Drosophila melanogaster: one gene and its partners. The protein of the gene in region 2 interacts with the protein of the main gene of each other region in a pairwise test. Each region holds a gene or a part of one and is shown on either strand. Other genes may lie near its edges.

Region 1 (5,160 bases), on a different chromosome or scaffold from region 2:
GCTCCATTGACCCAGCGGATCGAGATCGTGGATCGTCATGTGCACTTACGGGTTAGGGCGTTCCCGTTGTCAACGGAACCCTTATCTGCGGCAGCGGACCTCAGACGGGCGATGATCAGCTCACGTTCGTTGAATTGCTCGCGAATCTTGCAGGCTGCGAATGCACCTTGTGGAATGGCGGCCATCTTAACAACTGGAGGCGGAGGAGGAGCATCAAAAGTTAGTTATACATTGTAAATACATGGCTAAAATCACCACCCACCACTTAGGGAAATAACGCTCAGAAGGGAGATGATGAAGTCAAAGTTTCGCAATGGGCTTGTATTCCAGCACTCGGTGAAATGCTGATCGAGATTGATGATTTTTCCGCACTGCTGCAGCAGCATTCAAAGGCCAAACTGAAAGTCCGGAAAAAGTTTGTGGGATAGGGGATATTTCGCTTAGATCGAAATGTGTCCCAGTTTCTTTGGTTTTTGTTTTTTATCACAATTTCAACTATGAATCAGATTAGGCCAATTGGAATGGTTAGCTTTGCACGATGGATTTGGCATTTGATGCCTGTCGTTTTTTCTGGGATTTGCTCGATTGTCTGCGATTGTCTATGTCTGCTACTCGGAGATGAACACTCAGCACAAGGGTTCGGATTTAAACTGAAGACGTCGCCTGGCTGGGAATGGAATTTATAGAACGCGTGTTCGGATCGGATCGGTTCGGCTCGGAGCTGCCGCCAAGTGATAAGCGGGAGACAGGAGATCAGGCTGCCTTGATAGCGCGATTATAAAGCCGGCAAGTGATCGCCATTTTGTGCCACTTATCAGTTGCAGTTGTCATTGTTTTGGTTTTGCCTTTTTTTTTGTCATTTCCACACACAAGCCTATTTGTTTCCAAGCTCTACGGGAAGTTTCGATGGGGCTGGGAAGTAGATTTGTGTACTTGATATGGCTATCAGAGCCCTGGATCTATAGACCAGTTTTGCTTTTTAGCCGCAGCCAAGATGAAGGGCTCTCGTTCCCATCACGAGTGTCCCTGTACTCAAATGGCTGACAATCTTACGAGACTTTATTCCAAACCAGATTAATCCGGCTGCCAACACACTATAGCATGCTGGCAAAGGCATTTGTGATTATAATATTATTAAAAACTGACCTAAGTGCACGTTGTTTACTGAAATTTTCACTTCATTTTTGTTTTGGCGCAGACAAGGTGCAAAAGCATCAACACCTTAGATTTGACTTTGATTAGTCATGATCTCGGATTTTCGAAATATTTTCTGTATTGATTCCCTATTTCATTTCTATCAAGTTGTACAAAACAGTGCACTTGAAAAAATCTTATTTTGTTTTAAGTTAATTGTTTTTAATATATTATTACCAAAGACACTAGAATTCTTATTCTATTGTCTTATTCTAGTGTCTTTGTTAATACTTTTTTTACTATAAAGTGAATGATTGGTTGAATTTAAATATAAAGCCACGAGAAAGTTGTTTGATTCGATAAGGAGGTTACTAATAACACAGTTGAAAATATTCTATAAATAGAAGCAAGCTCACTTTATTTGCCAGTGTATTGAACATAAAATAATCGCTGTATAAACAAAGAACGGCCTACTAGTGAAACCAGTAAAGAGGTGGGTGATCGATCCGATGGGGATCATGGAGATGACCCTCGTAAATTGGTCTCAATAATACGATTAAAAATAAATCGTTTAGTCCAGTGACGCGCACAGTGTTTACTACAAAAAAATTAATCTTTGCACAACGCGGAGAGTCAGCCACGATGGCGATAATACTGGTGATGCTCTATGAAGTGGGTACAAAATTCTCACAGTATTCACACAGTTCCAAACACATTTAATTTAGGAACTACAAAAAAAAAGGCCAAAATAATATTTGGGTGATAAGGCGACTGATGGAAGCCACGAGCGTCTGAGATCACGTAGAGAGCCAAGCTTTTTCGCAGATTTGAACTCGGCGTGTGTGCCGATAATGAAGATCCTCGATGCCTTTTTTTTACCTTTTTTTTGCAGTGGCCTTTGTGTGCTAGGTCAACAATCTCTCAATGACTTTAGCAAAATGCTGATGTAACAATAACTCGCTTATCAGTTTCGGTTGGTTTTCGGGCAAACAAATATGGTTGTCCCAAGTTCTGTTTATGGTTTTAACTTTTGATTAATTATCATTTAAAAAAAATGCTAAATACTAAATACTAAATACTTGTAAGATAATAATGCATATAAGTAAATAAAACGTATCAAAGAACGTTTAAGAAAGGCAAACTGTTAATTGATGATTTTGAATTTGAAAAGGCGCCAACGAACTAATACCATTTCCAGCACTGACAAGAGTGCCACTGTTCTTTTATCAGGTGGCAACGCCCGTGCCAGACAACTAGGCTGCTAATTTCTAGTCAACGGCGAGGCTAAAATTAACAATTGGCTGTCAAAAGCAAGAAAAGAAAAACTCGGGAAATTGTTAATTAAAATCGTGACCCAGATCAGCGCATTCAGCCCCCGGACGCAGAGATGACGTGGAAGAAGCAGATGGCTCTGCTGGCCAAGCCATACTACTGGGTTAACATACTCCTGGCCATATCGTACCTTTTGGCCAAAAAGACGCAGTTCATCTGCACCCGCCTATTTATTCTCGCCGGAGAGGATGAAGCATGCGACCTGGACAGTCGTGAGGTGGAAATCTTGTTCTTCCTGCTAATCGTGGTGATGATACGGTCACGCAAAACGGGCAGTGTCACCATGATTAACTACTTGGCCTCGTCGTTCCTCTACACCAAAGTGGCCAACGCCATTTTGTGGGCCTACGCGGACTTCCGCTACGGCCTGGGCTTTCTGCTTCTATGCGTCCTGGTGGGCATGGTGCTGCCGGAGCCCTCGTATCGCGGACCCGAGCACATCACCTACTTCCGCAACGCACAGGTCTTCGAGGAGGAATTGGCCAGGGACAAGCGAACCAGCTGGCTGATCTGCTTCTACACGGTGTGGAATCCCAGCTGCGTGAACTTCGCCCCCGTTTTTGCTGAGCTCTCCGCCGAGTACAACACGGACCACCTGAAGTTCGGCAAGATTGACATTGGACGCTTTCCGGACGTGGCCCAAAAGTATCGCATCTCGGACAGCAGCTTCTCCCGACAGCTACCAACTGTGATCCTGTTCCAACAGGGCAAGGAGACGGACCGCAGGCCCTGCGTCGATTCCAAGGGTAAACTGCAAAAGTTCTTCTTCTCCAGCGACAATGTGCGCGCCACCTTTGGCCTTAACCAGCTGTACAAGGAGGCCATCGAACGACTACCCATTGCGCCCAAGGAGGCCAAGAAGGTCCAGTAGGCTGTCCTGTCCACCACTGGTGCCATCTCATTTCTGCGTGCACGTGCTAATAACTGTTATTCGTTTAGTTCATAGTTTATTTTAACTTATTGAGGAGCTGCCACCGCCAAAGACACGTACAATTGCACTAATATTTGCATTCTAAACTCAGACGTGCTCTCGTCGCGATGCCATTGTAGAAAATATTTGTATGATCTTGCATTTGCATAAATTGTAGCTAATCACCAGGTACCAAATATATTTAAAAATGTGAAATGAGTCAACGAAAATACGCAGTTCTTTTTTAATTCCCAGCCGAGTCTAACATTTCATTCAATTAGCACAGCTCAAACGATCATTTCCGGTGCTCGTTTAAGAACAAGTAAATATTAAGATGGACTGGACAAGCGTAAATTGAAAGAATGTAATAAAGAACTTACGCTGTATACAAATAGCTAGTAAAATAGTGAAAATATAGAGAATGAATATATAGTTTCAGAAAGGTGCCCATACTGGTTTTCGGTACAAATGTATATAAAGTGTTTGTGACAACCCACAATTTTATGACATATTTATTGTATTTTATACGTTCTGACTTGCCGCTTAAAACAGAAACCTTCGTCGTATCCCCCCGGTTTATGAAATATAAAACCAAATGGGCCCGTTGTTGCTGCCAATGTGTTGAGCAAAATTGTATGGCAATGCAAATGGCACAACAAAAATGTTTCCGGCGTGTTGCGTTCTGTTCCGAAATGGCCCCGCAGACATCGGCCATATAGACAGATCGTATATGGATATATATATATATATATACATAAGAACCCAACAGGCCAGACGCAGAACGAAATAAACGCAAATCCCTTTTATCCATTCAATATGAACACACATACGTATAGAGAAACGGACGAATTTAAATGCATAAATACAGGCGACTGCACACCAATCACCACCCACCGCACACCGCCCACAACCACCCCCCACAGATGTGAGCAAGGCCTTTGTGGTTAATATTTGTATTTTTCTTTACTTTCATTGAAACGGCATGAAAATGGCCATTGCATTTTACGTGAATTGTATATGGTAAATAATGCGATTGTCTCACACGGCCGTTTTATTTGCGGAAAATTTAAATTCGCCATGGCAATTGGGACAAGATTCACACCGTCCTGAAGTAATTATGGGCCACTCTGTATCGCCCCAACTCAGCACCCGCAACAACCCAGACCAGTTGCCCCACACCCATTCCCACCAACCAGTAATGATTTCCAAAGGCTGTCACCCGCTTCTCACGACGAGAAATCCAATAAGCACTTGCTCCGCAGCGGCAACAAAACGCATTGTTGTCGCTATTTTCACGTTGATTTCCCTTATTGCCACGGGAAAACCGGTGCTGGCCACATTCAATTGATTTTGAGTGATTTTTTGGCAAGTACCCTGTACGTACACCGAACATGGAATCTTATTTAAGGGGAATATTGGTAAAAATAAGTAATAGGTATGTACGTTATTTTAAGGCTTTTGCTTTGAAAGAAAGATATCATTTAAAGTATATTCCAAATATTTTAAAGGATATTTTAAATGGTGATATGTAAGAAAATCATAGAATATATTTTCTTTTTATTTTTATTCCTTCCTATTTCATTTTACTGTGTATTGTTACGTCTGCTCCGTTTCGGTGGCAGTATTTTTATTGCGTTTTTATGTCAACACCAGCTGGCAGCGTCTTAATATCCTTCGGTCGAAGTGCTGGATTGGGTTCTTGTATATTTCTGTCAATTGCTCACAATTAAATTAAAATTCAAGTCAAAGCCAGCCGCCATTCAGTTTGCAGAAAAAGCCGCAAG
Region 2 (4,131 bases):
CTTCTAATGTGTAGCATTCAATCCTTTAAAAAAAAGGTGTTTCTCAGAATGATAAACTCCTAGGAATTCCTAAAAATCTACGGTTATCTTTCATTCTTTTCAAACGTAAAATAAGGGAATATTTTAAAGACTTCGATTAAGGGAATTTGATTTTTGAATTTGATTCGCGACAATCAATTTTCGAATGACCGGGAGTTTCCTGAAACTTCATCATAGTGAAGTTCGCCTGTGGCTCACGCACACTGCCGCACTCTATTCGCACACACACACACACACACACCTGTTGATGGCAAACGTCGTAGTGTGCGGCTGGCTGTTGGGCGTAGAAATGTAAGTTGCTAAAGTTGTGCTCCAAATTGTTATTGTTGCTATTGCTGGTCGTATAAACACACGCGTTTTGCTGATTTTGCTGCGAATTTGGCGCGTTCTTTCTGCCGTGACTGTTGCTGTTGTTGTAGTAGTGGTTGCCCGTATTACTGCTGTTGTTATTGTTGCTGAGGAATATGGTCGCCTGCGTCGTTTGACCGTTTGTATAATTCGCGTTTTGCACCAATTCACCGCCGTGCGTTAAATTTGCCGATCCGGGACCGTCAGCGTTGTTACTCGAGCACGTACCACCGTTAAATAAATTCTTATTTTTAAACGTTGAAGTTTGTCGCCGATCACCGGCATTCGGATCCGCCATATCAGCTGATTTGCTGAATAAAGAGAGGGGCGAGAGAGCGGCAAACAAAAAATAAAACAAGAGAGCATTTTCTTTCTCTTTAACATTTTGAGAATTGTGTTCTCTTAAAAATGTCTTTTTCTCAGCCAGCACACAAAACCAGTTTTCGAAAGAAAATTATTAACAGATTCAAGTTCAGTTTCAGTGTGAGAGCGTAAAGTTAAATATGTATATTTTATAACTTATAAGAACTTCGATATGCCCCAAAGTATGCACCAATAATAATCGGCTTTTCAAAGAGTGGTTACCCAAAATAAAGTTTTTTGTTAAAATATAACAGGTTTATACGACATTATTCCATTCCATTCAATTTTTCTATTTCAATTCCATTATGTTTTTTTTTACTTTATATTTATTTAAAATTTTAAAAAACACCCAATATTAATCTGCCATCAAAACAACATTAGTAGCATAAGCGTAAGCTCGGAGCGATAATAATATTACCCAGTAAATCAGTGACTAATAAACCAGTCATAGAATAAAACGATTCATTTTATTCGTTTTAGTGCACAAAAGCCATTGGTAATGTTTAAAAATATTTGCTATTTTAGTCGGCAGCATTACCATTCGTATATATGTATGTAGTTATATTCGTATATATAGGGGGGCCAAGCCCTGGAATTCTCAAATCCCGACCCTTTTTCAGAACGTGAACCCAAATAAAGTGACTCATGATCCCCTTGCACACCCACACCAACGCCCATGACCAGGGAAGAGCAAATAATTCTGGTAAATATTTGGCATATTTGAGGATTGCTTTTGGCAGTGCCTTTTAATTCCACTCCCCCTTTTTTCCGCCTGATCAAATGCAAAAACGAAAGGCAGAAGCAAATGCACGGCGTCGGCCAGACAAGTGAATGAGCCAAGCAAATGGGGCTGACAACCAGCGACCTTCTCGATATGGTTAGGAATTGTTAATTTTAGCCAAATGAGTCAAAGTCAAAACGGGTAGCTATGTACATACATATGATGAGTATGAGTAATGTTGTTTTTTTTTTTTTTTTGGCTCTGTGGAGTCCTTCGCGAAATTCCCCAAGGGAGTTATCCTTATAAGGCACTCACTTTCCTAACCACACTACTCGCCAAAAACAAAGCTAATCTATATCTAGACAATAAAATAATTCCATGATTACGTTCTCTGATGTTTGCCCAATTGTTTCTTTTAATGAGATTTTTTACTCTTGTCATGGAAAATAAATTTTTCGCAATTGTCATAATATTTGACTAGCCAAAAAGGAAAAGTATATATTCGCGAGGTTTTGGCAGTAAATTACCACTGCATCTACGGAGTTATCAAAATGAAGTTTTTCGCTGTTCTCTTCCTCTTCTGCGGCATTGTAGGATTTGCCATGGTTGCTTCTACGTCACCCTCTGCGGACTATGATTACGGATCTGATTCAACTACGGAACAGGACACTACCGCCCCTGCATCTGACACTACCCTAGCTCCCTTGGCACAGCCTCCATGTGGCAGCGGACCCCAAGGACCCTGTGGACAAGTCCCTCCCCCACTGCCGCCCTGCGTGGGAGGTCCTGGTGGCCTTTGCGGCAAGAAACTTTACTTCTTCTACTAAATTAATTCTAACTAGGTTAATTATTCTGAAGCAATAAAGTGAAAAAAGTTTTAGACCTATCAATTAGCCATTTTTAATGATTTACTCAGCCTTAAAATTATGGTTTACCAAGCGTTAACCAATGACATTTTGCAATATAACTATAATTATAAATAAAACAAAGAAGAGGAATGTAGATTTCTTCGACTATCTGATACCCGTTACTCAGCTCTCGATAGTTTATGACGTAAGAGTGGGCGAGACATCATTTTAAAACCAACTTGCGCTGCGTCTACTTCTATAGAATCATTATAATTATTAATAATTATGCATAATAATAATAGCAATAATAATAATACTGTTAACTTTTTAGCATTATTGTTTCCGAGATCTGTTAGAATAAGTTATATAAGTTAGAAAACGATTTCTTATAGCTTTTAGATACTTTTAAACAAACCTAGTATACCCTTATACTCTACAATTAACGAGTATAAGTTGACGATTAATTTGTTAGGTAAATAACAAAGCTCTAGCTAATGCTAATGTTCCTCATAAACTCAGCTTACGATTTAAAATACTTTAAATAATTAATATAAAGCACTTGTTTAAGAAAATCATAACCAATCCGGTTAAAACGTGTACTGTATATTTACACGTGCTAAACATTTGCCACGTGTACATTTATTTTTGGAAAGGCAAATTAGAGTATTTACTCAACTGTCCTAATCCATCACTCCATCCACCATTTCATCCATCAAATCTTGCAAGCACTTGTGTTAACAATTGTTCTGAAGTCTTATTCGTATATAAGGGCAAAATATGTTGAGTGAAATATCAGTTTCGATTTAAAGTTAGCAACATGAAGTTTTTTGCCATCCTCCTCCTTTTGTGCACCATGGTAGCTGTTGCAATTGCCGCAACAACAACAACAACAACGGAGAACATTGATTGGGGTTCTGCAAGTACAACTGAAATACCGGCAACAACTACAGCAACTCCATGTGAATCAGCTGACGCCAAGAAATTATATTTCTTTTATAAATAATATGGCTTCAAAATATTCATATTTTTGAGTAAAATAAAAATATAGAACAATCCCAAAAACTTCAAACACCTAAATAGCACTTCTACAAGGTTCAATGCGTATAACAATCGTATATTTTGGACTCGAAACCTTCACTACATTCCACAAGGAAGTGGAGCTGCTCGGGGACAGCTGGCCATATGGAACAAGTGCGTCTGGCTGAGGATACCCTTATATGGAAATAAACATTTCAAATCGGGCCAAAAACGGCGGCCAAGTGACGATGAATACGTGAGGCGCCACTTGCATCGCTGGGGAATCGCATGAATCAGCGTCGACGAACGCCGCCAATGAAATGCTAAATAAATTTGCACTTCCATTTTAATTAATTTGAATTTATTTGAAACTAAAATTACACCCAACATTTGCACAGCGAAGGCGCAAGTGAGCAAATTTCGACCGCCCATTGGACTAAAAATAAATTGACAAATATTTAGTTTTTATGAACAGGTAATGAGAACCACATGTCCTCCATTTTCGTCGTGAATATATCGTGGAAAATCGTGTGGGTGAAATGCAACGTTTGCCGATCGGATAAGGGCCACCCTAGGCCCACAAAACAACAAAAAAAAAAACTCACTTTTCTGGACGCCATATCGATGGTTTTTCTGTTGGTTGATAGGGATCGCTGTCGAATGATCTCGAGTTGTAATACTTTAGTGGGGGTGCTTAATACTGAACACTTGATGGCCCGCTAATTACACAATTCCTGGCGTGGCGAGCACGTTTCTCTCTAAAAAAACACAACACAAACACGACTGGCAAATCCT
Region 3 (5,495 bases), on a different chromosome or scaffold from region 2:
AGCCGCTAAGCCGCATGAATCAGCGGGTGCGAGTGAGAGCGCGCTAGCGGCCGGCGCATTTCGCATTTTGATATTCGATTTTTGCCACATTTTGTTGAGATTTTCGTGCCTTATTTTCGATCTAAGCATGTACTTACAGAACTCGACCAGCACGAACTCGTTGTCGGCAATCAGCTGCTTGAAGTTGTCCACCGTCGCCACCAGAACACCCTCCTCAACTTTGACCTCCGCCTCGGCGGAAGCGGCCACGTAGGACGCCGCCAAGAAAAGTGCACAGATCAGGAATTTCATTGCGGGCACTCGTCGTCGTTTGATATTTATTGAATCTATTGCCCTATGTGGGTGCAGCACACTCGCCAACCAAAACTGGGATTCGAACTGCGCTGAACTTGCCCGGTTGCAAGTAGAAATTCAAATGAATTCAAGTGACAGTGAAACGCAGAGATATATACATATAAAGCTGAATTAGGTGAGGGATTTTTGGTATTTCTCTACAAGTTTCCGATAAATTTTACTAATATCGATATTTGTCAATGAATGAGCATTGAACTGTAGGTGGCGCTTGGGTGCCCAAAGGTTGGCAATCGTCGAAGGTAAATTTTTTTAGTTTAGGATCTCGTTTATATATTTGAAGTTTTATTTTTATATTTAACTAATTCAGTAATGTACTATTTTTTTTTTAAATATTACGGTTTTTTCGAATACCATAATTTTAAAATATTGTGATATAAATAGTATCGTATTGTATTGTATATAAGTTAACTTGTATTTAACATAAGGCAATTTGTAAAGGCCTTATAATTCTTCTTTTTAATTCATTTTTTTTATTAAATTTTATTTTAAATAACTTACGTCATTCTCTTTATGTCATTTACCCTTTTTAAAATAAAGACTGGTGTTGTGTAAACGCAAAAAAGACTGTGTAATTATTAATGCAGTTGTATTGCTTCTCTGTTTCATTGTAATAAAAAGTAAATATAAAATATTGTATCTTAAAAAGAATAAAACTCATTTCTTAAACAACTTAACAGCACACATGTAAATAATTCTTAAAAAGACAGATATTGGAAGAATATTTTGCGGAATTCAGGAGTCAAAAGCGACCACCTGTTGAATGCATTGTTCGACTATGCTAAAAAGTATTTCCGAAGTCTTAACACTACTAAATGGCCTATCTACAGGAGGTACATGGACAAACAGGCTTCGTTTTCTGTCCATATCGAGCGATTTCAGATAGATATAGCCGCAGAGAAAGTCACCCACATTTTTGGATGCCTTTGTGGCGCTCAGGGATTTGAGATTATCATTATGTGTCGGCTGTTGTGTGGGTCCCACACAATCGGCGCAATTCTCATTTACAACCGCCACAATCTTATCCACATCTAATTCGGTCTTCAAGACATTTGCATGTCCATTGTTGGGTAGTTCGCAAGTGCCGTTGGCCAGTTTTTTATCACAATTATCAGCTCGGCGGAACTTGTGATTGTACGCCAGCTTCTCGATGTATACACACTTGGCAACGCCCGAAACACCGACATGGATAACAAGCTGTTTTTTTTTTGTTTTTTATTTTTTTGGGAGAAAGATGATATCATAAGGCCTCTATCTATTTATGGTTCAATTGCGATGCTTACATATGGCTGGCGTTTCCAAATCTCCGCCACCGCCTCGTCCACAGCCCCGTATTCCACCGAAACCAACCGCTTTTCCAGATCATATTCTATGCCATCGTGAGTTAGGATTTCCGGCAGCAGTTTCACAGCTTCCCAGCTGGCGTTGACCGCTTCGTGACCGAGAAATGGACCAAATCCGGAGACTACAATGAGCTTTCGATCTGACGACGCCATAACAAACACCCCAACTAAACTAAACCCCCCACCAACAACAGAACTATCTTAAATACCATATGATTTCTATCTTCTTCTTCACCCTTTGAATCATGCGTTTCAAATGTTTGCGACGATGGCGGAACGGTGGAAATTGGAGCATATCGAAGTTTTTTATTTTTCGTCATTTATAGGTGAATTAACATTATTTTATATTTTCTATTTTTTTTTGAACCCACTTCGAAATAACGAAAAAATAAATAACTAAAAAGCATCCCCATTTTCAATAAAAATTTAAACAGTAACACCAAATATACTAAACGAAATGGTATTTTTCGGTATTCCCGAACCTCGCACTTTTGGGATTTTTCTTGAACGGAAACAGACGACGCAGTATGCGGCACCAAACAGAGAAATAACACATTTAGCGACAACAACAAAGGATAAATCCATTCCATACATTCCAGAGCTAGATCCGATCCAAAGGCCAGCAATCGACCCGATAAGGCGGCGCACCAGATCCGAGTTTCCGAGCAGGGGTATATAGGTGAGCACTACCTGGTAATCTAATCGCTGCGGATGAGTGGAGGACGCTCCTCTGTTGGCAGCGACGCCGGCAGCGCACCACCCTACGCACACAGGTGAACTTTGCACATTAACTATTTATTAACCTCGAACAGGTCGCCGGTGGAGCGGGAAAAAGTGGGATATCTGAACAGCAGTTGGCCTATTTCACACAGGAAGCGGATTCTAGTTGTCCATCCGGCAGAAGAGGCCTTTTCCAATCGTTAACATGCTGTCGCGCCTGCAGGACTTCTTGTCACGCCACCGGCGAAAGTTCATAGTGACCGGCGTTCTGGTGGGCGGTACCATCTTTGCGGCACGTTATGCACAACGGCGATTCGTGGAGTTCCAGGAGAAACAGGCCAGGGAATTCTTCGAGAGAACGCGGCGCACGACCCACTTTGAGTCGACGGAGAAGACGTGTAACCAGGTGATCCTAGGCATGGGCGAGGAGATGTGCCAAGCGGTTCTGAGGGAGTGCAGCACGGACGAGCTGCTCGAGCAGCTGCGCCAGAATCCCAAGAACAAGTTGGAACTTTGGGAGGACATGAAAATTGTGGCATTCACAAGACTGGCAACCTATGTCTACGCCTCCTCCATGCTGGTTATTGCGTTGAGGGTCCAGCTAAATCTTCTCGGTGGCTACATCTATCGGGACATCATGACGGAACAAAAACAAGTCACCGACGAGCTAAAGCAGCAGTATCTCTCCCTCATCCGACACTTTATCACGGATTCGGGCATCCGGGACTTAGCCCGTTACATTCGCACCCAGGTCATCGCAGTCACCAAGACCATACCGCTCTCCGAACAGCTTTCCCTTAGCGACCTGGAGCAACTGTTTTGGTCACTGCAAATGGCCATCAATGCGGACACTCGTCGGGATCCCAACTCGCGAATGAGCAAGTATCTGCTGCCCAGCCAGAATCCCAGTCATTCGCCGCTGCTGCAAAAGATGGTCAACGAGACGCTGGATCTGTTGGAGAGCGAGGATGCCGTTGGCGTGTGCTCGCACAATGTAAGCCGTGGTTTTGTGCTGGCCTGCGATGCCATCGCCGAAAGCATGGGCGAAACTTTGCAGCATCTGCCACAAGCTAAAGTCCAAACGCAGCAAGAACAGAGCGTCAAGTTTAACCAGGCAGGAAGCTTAGGCGCCAGCACCTCGAAGAGCCAAAACGGTCTGGAGAACAATAACTTGCTGAACATCAACCGAGTGCTGTTGGCGTTGGCAAAGCTCATTCCTATCATCAGTGGTCTCACCTCGAGAGGCTTCGATACCACTTCGCGACCCCACAATCTGCCCACCCAACTGCTAACCTTCTACGTGGTCGCCGAGAAGACAAAGACGCTGGGGGCCAACGTCTACGAAAGCTTTAGCTCCGCTTAGAGGATCAACAAAACTTGGATTATGCATCCGTGCATAGGCTAGGCTAAGACAATTGGAAAATTATAGTTTATATACTTGTATATTTTTAATAAGATCTGTATTCTCAGAAGCATTGTTTGTATGTCTGCTTGAACCCAACCCGTATTAGGTTTAGCTTCGTCCACGGGGAATCCTTTCAGGGCAGGGACACAAATCGAGTAACGTGAAGGCCTTTTAATCTAAATGGAAAGTTAGGAAATGCAACATATGAGAGAATCATATAGGATGGACCTGAGGGTAGTTTAGTATCCAAACTATATGAAAATGTAATTTAAAGTGTAATTGATTAATAGAATGATAAGTGACAGATTATTTATTTATACCATGCTAGAAAGCTTGGGTCTTAATCTTAAAGGAAGTGTAAACAAATGGCAACCTAATAAACTATGCATTCCCCGTATTTAAAGACTATTATTTTGCATATTAAAGTTTTTGAAGGAACTTATTCTTTTTATTCTTACAGCTAATTAAAACAGATATTGATTTATAGAATGATAAATTATACATGCGTACATAGGTGCATACTTGTATTGAATTAATAAGAAATAAATTCAATAATTATGTCGGAGATATACGAGATTCTTATATACTTTTTCCTCCAAGTTTCTAACAGTTTGCGGTTTTAAATGTACATAATATATTAATTTAGTAACGGAGCAACGGTTATCTGATAATCGGGGAACTCGACTATAGCATTCTCTCTTGTTATAAATGCTTAATATGTATAAAAATATAAGAATTGAATTATCGAAGACACAACCCACAAGTAACGGTTGTCTTTGCTATCAGTCAAAAGGGGGTGGCAGAAAACCGCCCTGTGATAAGACAGCTGTGTCTGTGGCTTTTGTTTGTTTGCCATTTCTCTTGTTCTTGCCGCTCTCTCCCTTGTTCACTCTCTTCAAGCACTTGCGCAGAAATGCCGCATGTGCGAAGATTCATTATAATATAACAATTATGAATAACTATCAAGCAGAAAGTAACTTAAAAGATTTCATAAATTGAACCAAGTTTATGCTTAAGGAGGTGAAAGTAATTAGATACATTTACATCACGCTCGCCCCTCTGCGACTTGTTCGCTCTCGCAGGACTCTCTCTTCACATCCGTCTCTCTTACTCCTTCGGGTGCCCAGCTGTCTGGTACAAAATTTCCATTTTGGGCGCAGTTGCAAAAGTTACGTGAAAAGGCAAAGGACAACAGTTACTTTTATACATCCCTGCGAGACTTTGCGTATGTGTTGGTGTAAAAAAAATAATTAAATATACAAAAATGAAAGAAATGCATTGAATAACTGATTCGAAGCCAAGTTAAAACCGAGTGTGCAAATATGAGAAATACTGCAAAAAGTACACAAATTGGAAAAGCCAGCTAAAGGAGGAAAGCCCACCGTCAAACAAACAAACAACAACAACGGCGGCTCAATTGTGTAAGTGCACTTGCAAAATGTTTATTAACCAGTCGATGGGGCTAAAAGCCCACTTAGCCCATCAACTTTTTACTAGCCGACCACAAAATATATTGATTAAGACAAAGAGAAAACTGAACATGAAAATCAAAAGGCCACATGAGCACATGTGAGCGAAAAAGACAGACACAGCGGTATATTGGTAACGGGACAGACAGTGCGTGCGTACAGTGGTGTGGGAGGGGGCTGCAAAGGCGGTGGTGTGGGGGAAAGGCA
Region 4 (4,552 bases), on a different chromosome or scaffold from region 2:
ATGTGGCACATGTCGACATTATTCTGGAATTCTTAATGGAAATTTAAGGTGCTGACTGGTGAGAAAACCCAAGGGCTTTGCTTCCTACTATCACTGTAAGTTCTGTGATTAAATTATCGTTGTAAAACATCAAACACCACCGACCGCAATTATGGGCCCGCAAGTGTGGGGGATCAACTATTGGGTGTTTTATTGCTGAACCCACTAACCACCGAAATTGGTTTGTTTATCTGGCATTGGTACACACTTGCCCACAGTCGAATCAATTTACAACTTTTCAGTCAATCACAAACCAATCAGAGTGCAAAATATGAGCGCAATCACATCCAGCCATTTGTTGGTCGTTTTAGTACACCTAAATGTGCACTGGGAAAAATCAGAGGCCTGTTAAAAAATCAAGGATATCATAAAGGAGTACCATACATTTAAAATAAATAATAGAAATAGATATTAATAACGAACAATAAAACTAATAATAAGCAATATAAAAGAAGAGCAAACGATAAACTCGATTTCCTCGACTAGCAGATACCCTTTACTAAGATAGCGGGAGTGCGAGGGAGAAATTTCACAATATGTTTGCCATAATAATATAAGTTGGTGAGAAACAATTAGTTCAATAATACAATAATAAAATACAATACATTTATTTATATTGTACATTTTTAAATTGCGGCAATGAAAGATTTTTCGCTTATACGAACGGACAGATAAACGGACAAAGCCAGATCGACTCGGCTAGTGATCCTAATCAAGAATATATTCCATTCAACCTGTTAAATAGTAAATACACTATCAACGAATATTCTTCTACTTTTAAATTAACGAACCAGGTGAATTTTGCTGTGGATCAAATAATTGGAACAGCAATTTCAAAAAACAATTCGTTTTTGGGTGTTTGAAACCTATTTCGAAGGTACACAGAAAAATCGAATGATTGCATTTTTATTTAAAATTATACCAAAATATAAAATTACATCTGTATGCCTTTATTTATTTTCTTTTATTTTTATACGGACTTCGCAATAATATGGCTAATTCCGTTTGATATTTAATGACCAGGATGGTAATGATTTTTTTTTTCTAAGTGCAGGGAGCTCAGTGGGGACGGTACGCTTTGTGGCGTGAATGGCGCCATCAAGAGGCAGCCAGGCGGTGCTCAACTGGCAGCTGAATAAACAGCATCAACAACAAGTGCAGGGAATGGGAGTGGGCTGGGATGGGGTTCTGGGGGTATGGACGGATGGTTGGATGGGGATGGGGATGGGGATGGGGATGGGACCAATGCTGAATACCGTCTCATCGACACTTTTTCATTGAATTCAATTAAAAGCGAAATTGAAAATTGAAATTCAATTAAGATGCTATAAATACGGCAGGGATGGGGTGCAAGGGTGTCAAGCGGGGCAGAGAGTATACAGGATACTGTGGAAGCATTCCGGGATAGAAAGGACTCGTGGCAATGATGATAGATGAGCTGCCAGTGGCTGCTGGAAGTGGATGAAAGAGATTCCATCGATCTGTGTATTGGCTGGGAGCTTCGAGCGGTGCTTATGATATGTGACATGTCCTTTTTTTGAACTTACTCTACTTTCTGTTTTTTTTTTTTCTTTCTCCCTGACATTTAATGGGGCATCAACACCAACATGTTGGTATTGATGACAAATAAATTGATGCTGCAATCAATCAAAAATAAATCAACCATATGGTGCACCAAGATAATCAAGTCTGGGAAACAATACACTAATCTGATTAGGCTCATTAGTAAACCACCATCTAATATTGTCTTATTAGGCTTCGTCTTCACATTTCCATGAAATATTGCCCTTGAGCCACCCAATCAATTCTTGTTTGGTAATAACATCTTTTTTAATTTATGGAATTTAAGCCCAATGCATTCCCTTTGCAACATATTTTGTCACTGTTTGAACTAAATTTAAATTAGTGAACTTTTGCCAACACAAATCCTCTTTAACACTTCAAGTAAGTCCATGATGCGAGCTATCTTTAATAATCCCAAACCCCAAGCCTCGGAAATCACCCCCTATTTTCCAGTCTATTGAAAACATAATTTTTAGACGGCTGCTGCTTTCAATTAACGCATTAGGCAAGGAAAAGGCAGCAGTTTCACTTTGCTCAGGGGATAATAATGAAGAAAAAAATAGAGACCAAGGGACTTTGTCTAACTTTTCCGAAAGGCTAAAGTTTCCGTGGGAGGTCGAGGTCGTTCGAAACTTTGTTGAAAATGACAGAAGACTGCAGTGACCTAAAACCAGAGGAGATGCAGCAATTCAGTTTCGCCAGCTGATGGAAAGAAAGTTGAAGTTTATGGAGTTTAAAAGTTGAAAGCGGTTGGCATTATTTGTCAAACATGGAACTGTATTTTCTAAAATTTATAGCAACGTATTTTTCCTATTTTTGATGCCATTTTTAAGAAAGCTGGTCAGACAAGAATTTTGCTTTTGCATCTCGCTGACTTCTGGATGCATCATAGTTTCATTCTACACACTGTTTTTCGGATTCCTTAACGCAGGCACTACTGTGGATGAGGTTATATACAAGAACAGTGAGTTGGAAAAGTAAGGAAACCTGAATTTTAAGAACAGCATCTAAACCCAAATACCAGCACTCAAGACTGATGTTTATGCGAAATGGTTCAATGTATTTCATATAGCTCTGATGATCGCAGCTGCAGTTATCCTGCTGATATCTGTTATGACGGTAAGAAAATCACTTCCAATATTTTTAATTCTAATAAAATTCCTTTTAGAAGTACTTAAGGATCGTTTTCGTGTGGATGGCCATGTTCATCATTCATATGATATCGTACTACATCATCTTCAATGCTTTGATAAATGTTCGCAATCCGTTCTTTAAAAGTGCTGTCTCTGCGATTATTTATGTTTTCGTGAATTTAGTGACGTTGGGTAAACATATATATTAAAAATCTCTATTCTCGTAAGTTATGCTCCAGCTTTTCAGGAATCGATTTATTTTGTTTGCTCAAAGTCTACACGTATTATTATGTAAAAGCGCATCCAGATGAATTCAGACCAGTTTGTGTGGATAAATGAGAGGATGTCCTTAAAAATTAAATTGAGATCAGCGAAATTGATTTTTAAGATGATGAAAAGCAATAGCATTTCGTGCTCTTTACCCCATGCTCATCAAGTGAGAGGATGATGCTTTTACTGTGCTAATATGGCAGACTCAATTTTCTTTATAATTTCATTAGCATCTTGATGAGAACTGAAAACGATTCCACGCGTGCCTGACAAACACGACACACATCGGGCTGGAAATTCTAGGCTAATGCTAATGAGGCCATAATACAGATTGCTTAAGTTGTAATTATGCAAAAAAGTTAATACCACAATAAAGAAGATATGGCGGAAAATGTGAAGGCAATTTCGTTTAAATTTGGCGCCATCATCTGGGCGAGCTAAACATGAGTATTTGCTTAAAAGTTTTGCAATGTACATAAATTACGTATACGACTTGTGGTTCATAAACAAATCTTGTACATTGAAATTAACAAAGAATTGTTTTGATAATTTAAAATATACGTATAATTTTTTAACATTCAGGCTTAAAAGAAATTCTAAAAATAAAAATATTTTGCAGAATATCTTATTTGCATTTCCTGTCAAAACGTCTGAAATTATGATTCTGGCTAAAAAATTTTGCTTCTGTATATCCTTGCAAATGGGATGTATACTGATTGCATTGGCTGGAATTTTTTTGGCTGGCATGAACATTGACTATATGCTCCTTTGTTTAAATAGTAAATATATATTCACATTGGCATTAGTATTATTTTTTGCATTAAATTTAATGTTTTGATAGGAACCTATTTCAGAGAAATGCAGCACAAATTCCCAGGTAATTTAGTGACTAAGCAGTTCCAATGATTCCATTTGATAATCTAGTTTTATTACCCAGAACAAGCTCTCTACACTGTGATACAAATGTCTCCCGATTTGTTAACTATCTTGGCATCGTTCATGCTAATATTTGCAGTCTTATCGGTATGTATATAATATAATTAAAGATGGTTTTTACAAAATATATGTATTTAGCAATATGGTTGGCTGTTTTGGACAACTCTATTCTTTCAAGCATTTCAGGCAGTCTTCTTTCTTATTTTCAGTTTAGCTTCAGCACTTATGGGTTCGAATTTAATAATAAATGAGAGCACTTGGCATAATTTAACCTATTGGATTTACGTGCTTCTTTGGCTAAGTGGGAGCTAATTGTAGTATATACAAAACGAAAAGTAAATAACTTATTTTATTTTAGCAATGACAGCGTATTTCATGTACATAATATATTCGTACTATCGGCAATTAAAACCGAGGGAAACTGAAAATATGGAGTAATAACTACTAAGGAGAATAACTCTTTACACGTAGTATTTAAGTAATTTGTTTTTTATTCACAACTGCAACTGTATAGCATTGGATTAATCGTCATCAAAAAGAAATTACATGTAAATAAAAACAATTGTTTAATGAAATGTGGCGAGCGGAAAATTTCTGTTTTTGTATGAAAC

The links.
Region 1: the proteins of CG42779 (region 2) and CG11007 interact in a two-hybrid assay, tested with the Drosophila melanogaster proteins (one large-scale study listed by BioGRID).
Region 3: the proteins of CG42779 (region 2) and Pex3 interact in a two-hybrid assay, tested with the Drosophila melanogaster proteins (one large-scale study listed by BioGRID).
Region 4: the proteins of CG42779 (region 2) and CG42263 interact in a two-hybrid assay, tested with the Drosophila melanogaster proteins (one large-scale study listed by BioGRID).

What each region holds. Positions count from the first base shown.
Region 1 is NT_033778.4:19,500,667-19,505,826, forward strand, and holds CG11007 (uncharacterized protein), read left to right. Parts: upstream 1-2,401; 5' UTR 2,402-2,521; coding exon 2,522-3,337; 3' UTR 3,338-3,928; downstream 3,929-5,160. Other genes in the region: CG16926 (uncharacterized protein), read right to left, coding at 50-193, 263-386.
Region 2 is NT_033777.3:17,118,457-17,122,587, forward strand, and holds CG42779 (uncharacterized protein), read left to right. Parts: upstream 1-3,120; 5' UTR 3,121-3,136; coding exon 3,137-3,322; 3' UTR 3,323-3,631; downstream 3,632-4,131. Other genes in the region: cher (cheerio), read right to left, coding at 281-698; CG34278 (uncharacterized protein), read left to right, coding at 2,023-2,298.
Region 3 is NT_037436.4:15,142,163-15,147,657, forward strand, and holds Pex3 (peroxin 3), read left to right. Parts: upstream 1-2,192; 5' UTR 2,193-2,387; intron 2,388-2,506; 5' UTR 2,507-2,619; coding exon 2,620-3,777; 3' UTR 3,778-4,217; downstream 4,218-5,495. Other genes in the region: Pdi (protein disulfide isomerase), read right to left, coding at 138-291; CG32147 (uncharacterized protein), read right to left, coding at 1,087-1,548, 1,635-1,847.
Region 4 is NT_037436.4:19,953,622-19,958,173, reverse strand, and holds CG42263 (uncharacterized protein), read left to right. Parts: upstream 1-2,374; 5' UTR 2,375-2,421; coding exon 2,422-2,566; intron 2,567-2,626; coding exon 2,627-2,721; intron 2,722-2,770; coding exon 2,771-2,927; intron 2,928-2,982; coding exon 2,983-3,074; 3' UTR 3,075-3,627; downstream 3,628-4,552. Other genes in the region: CG42654 (uncharacterized protein), read left to right, coding at 3,664-3,784, 3,847-3,882, 3,943-4,028, 4,080-4,242, 4,300-4,379; CG42655 (uncharacterized protein), read left to right, coding at 4,516-4,552.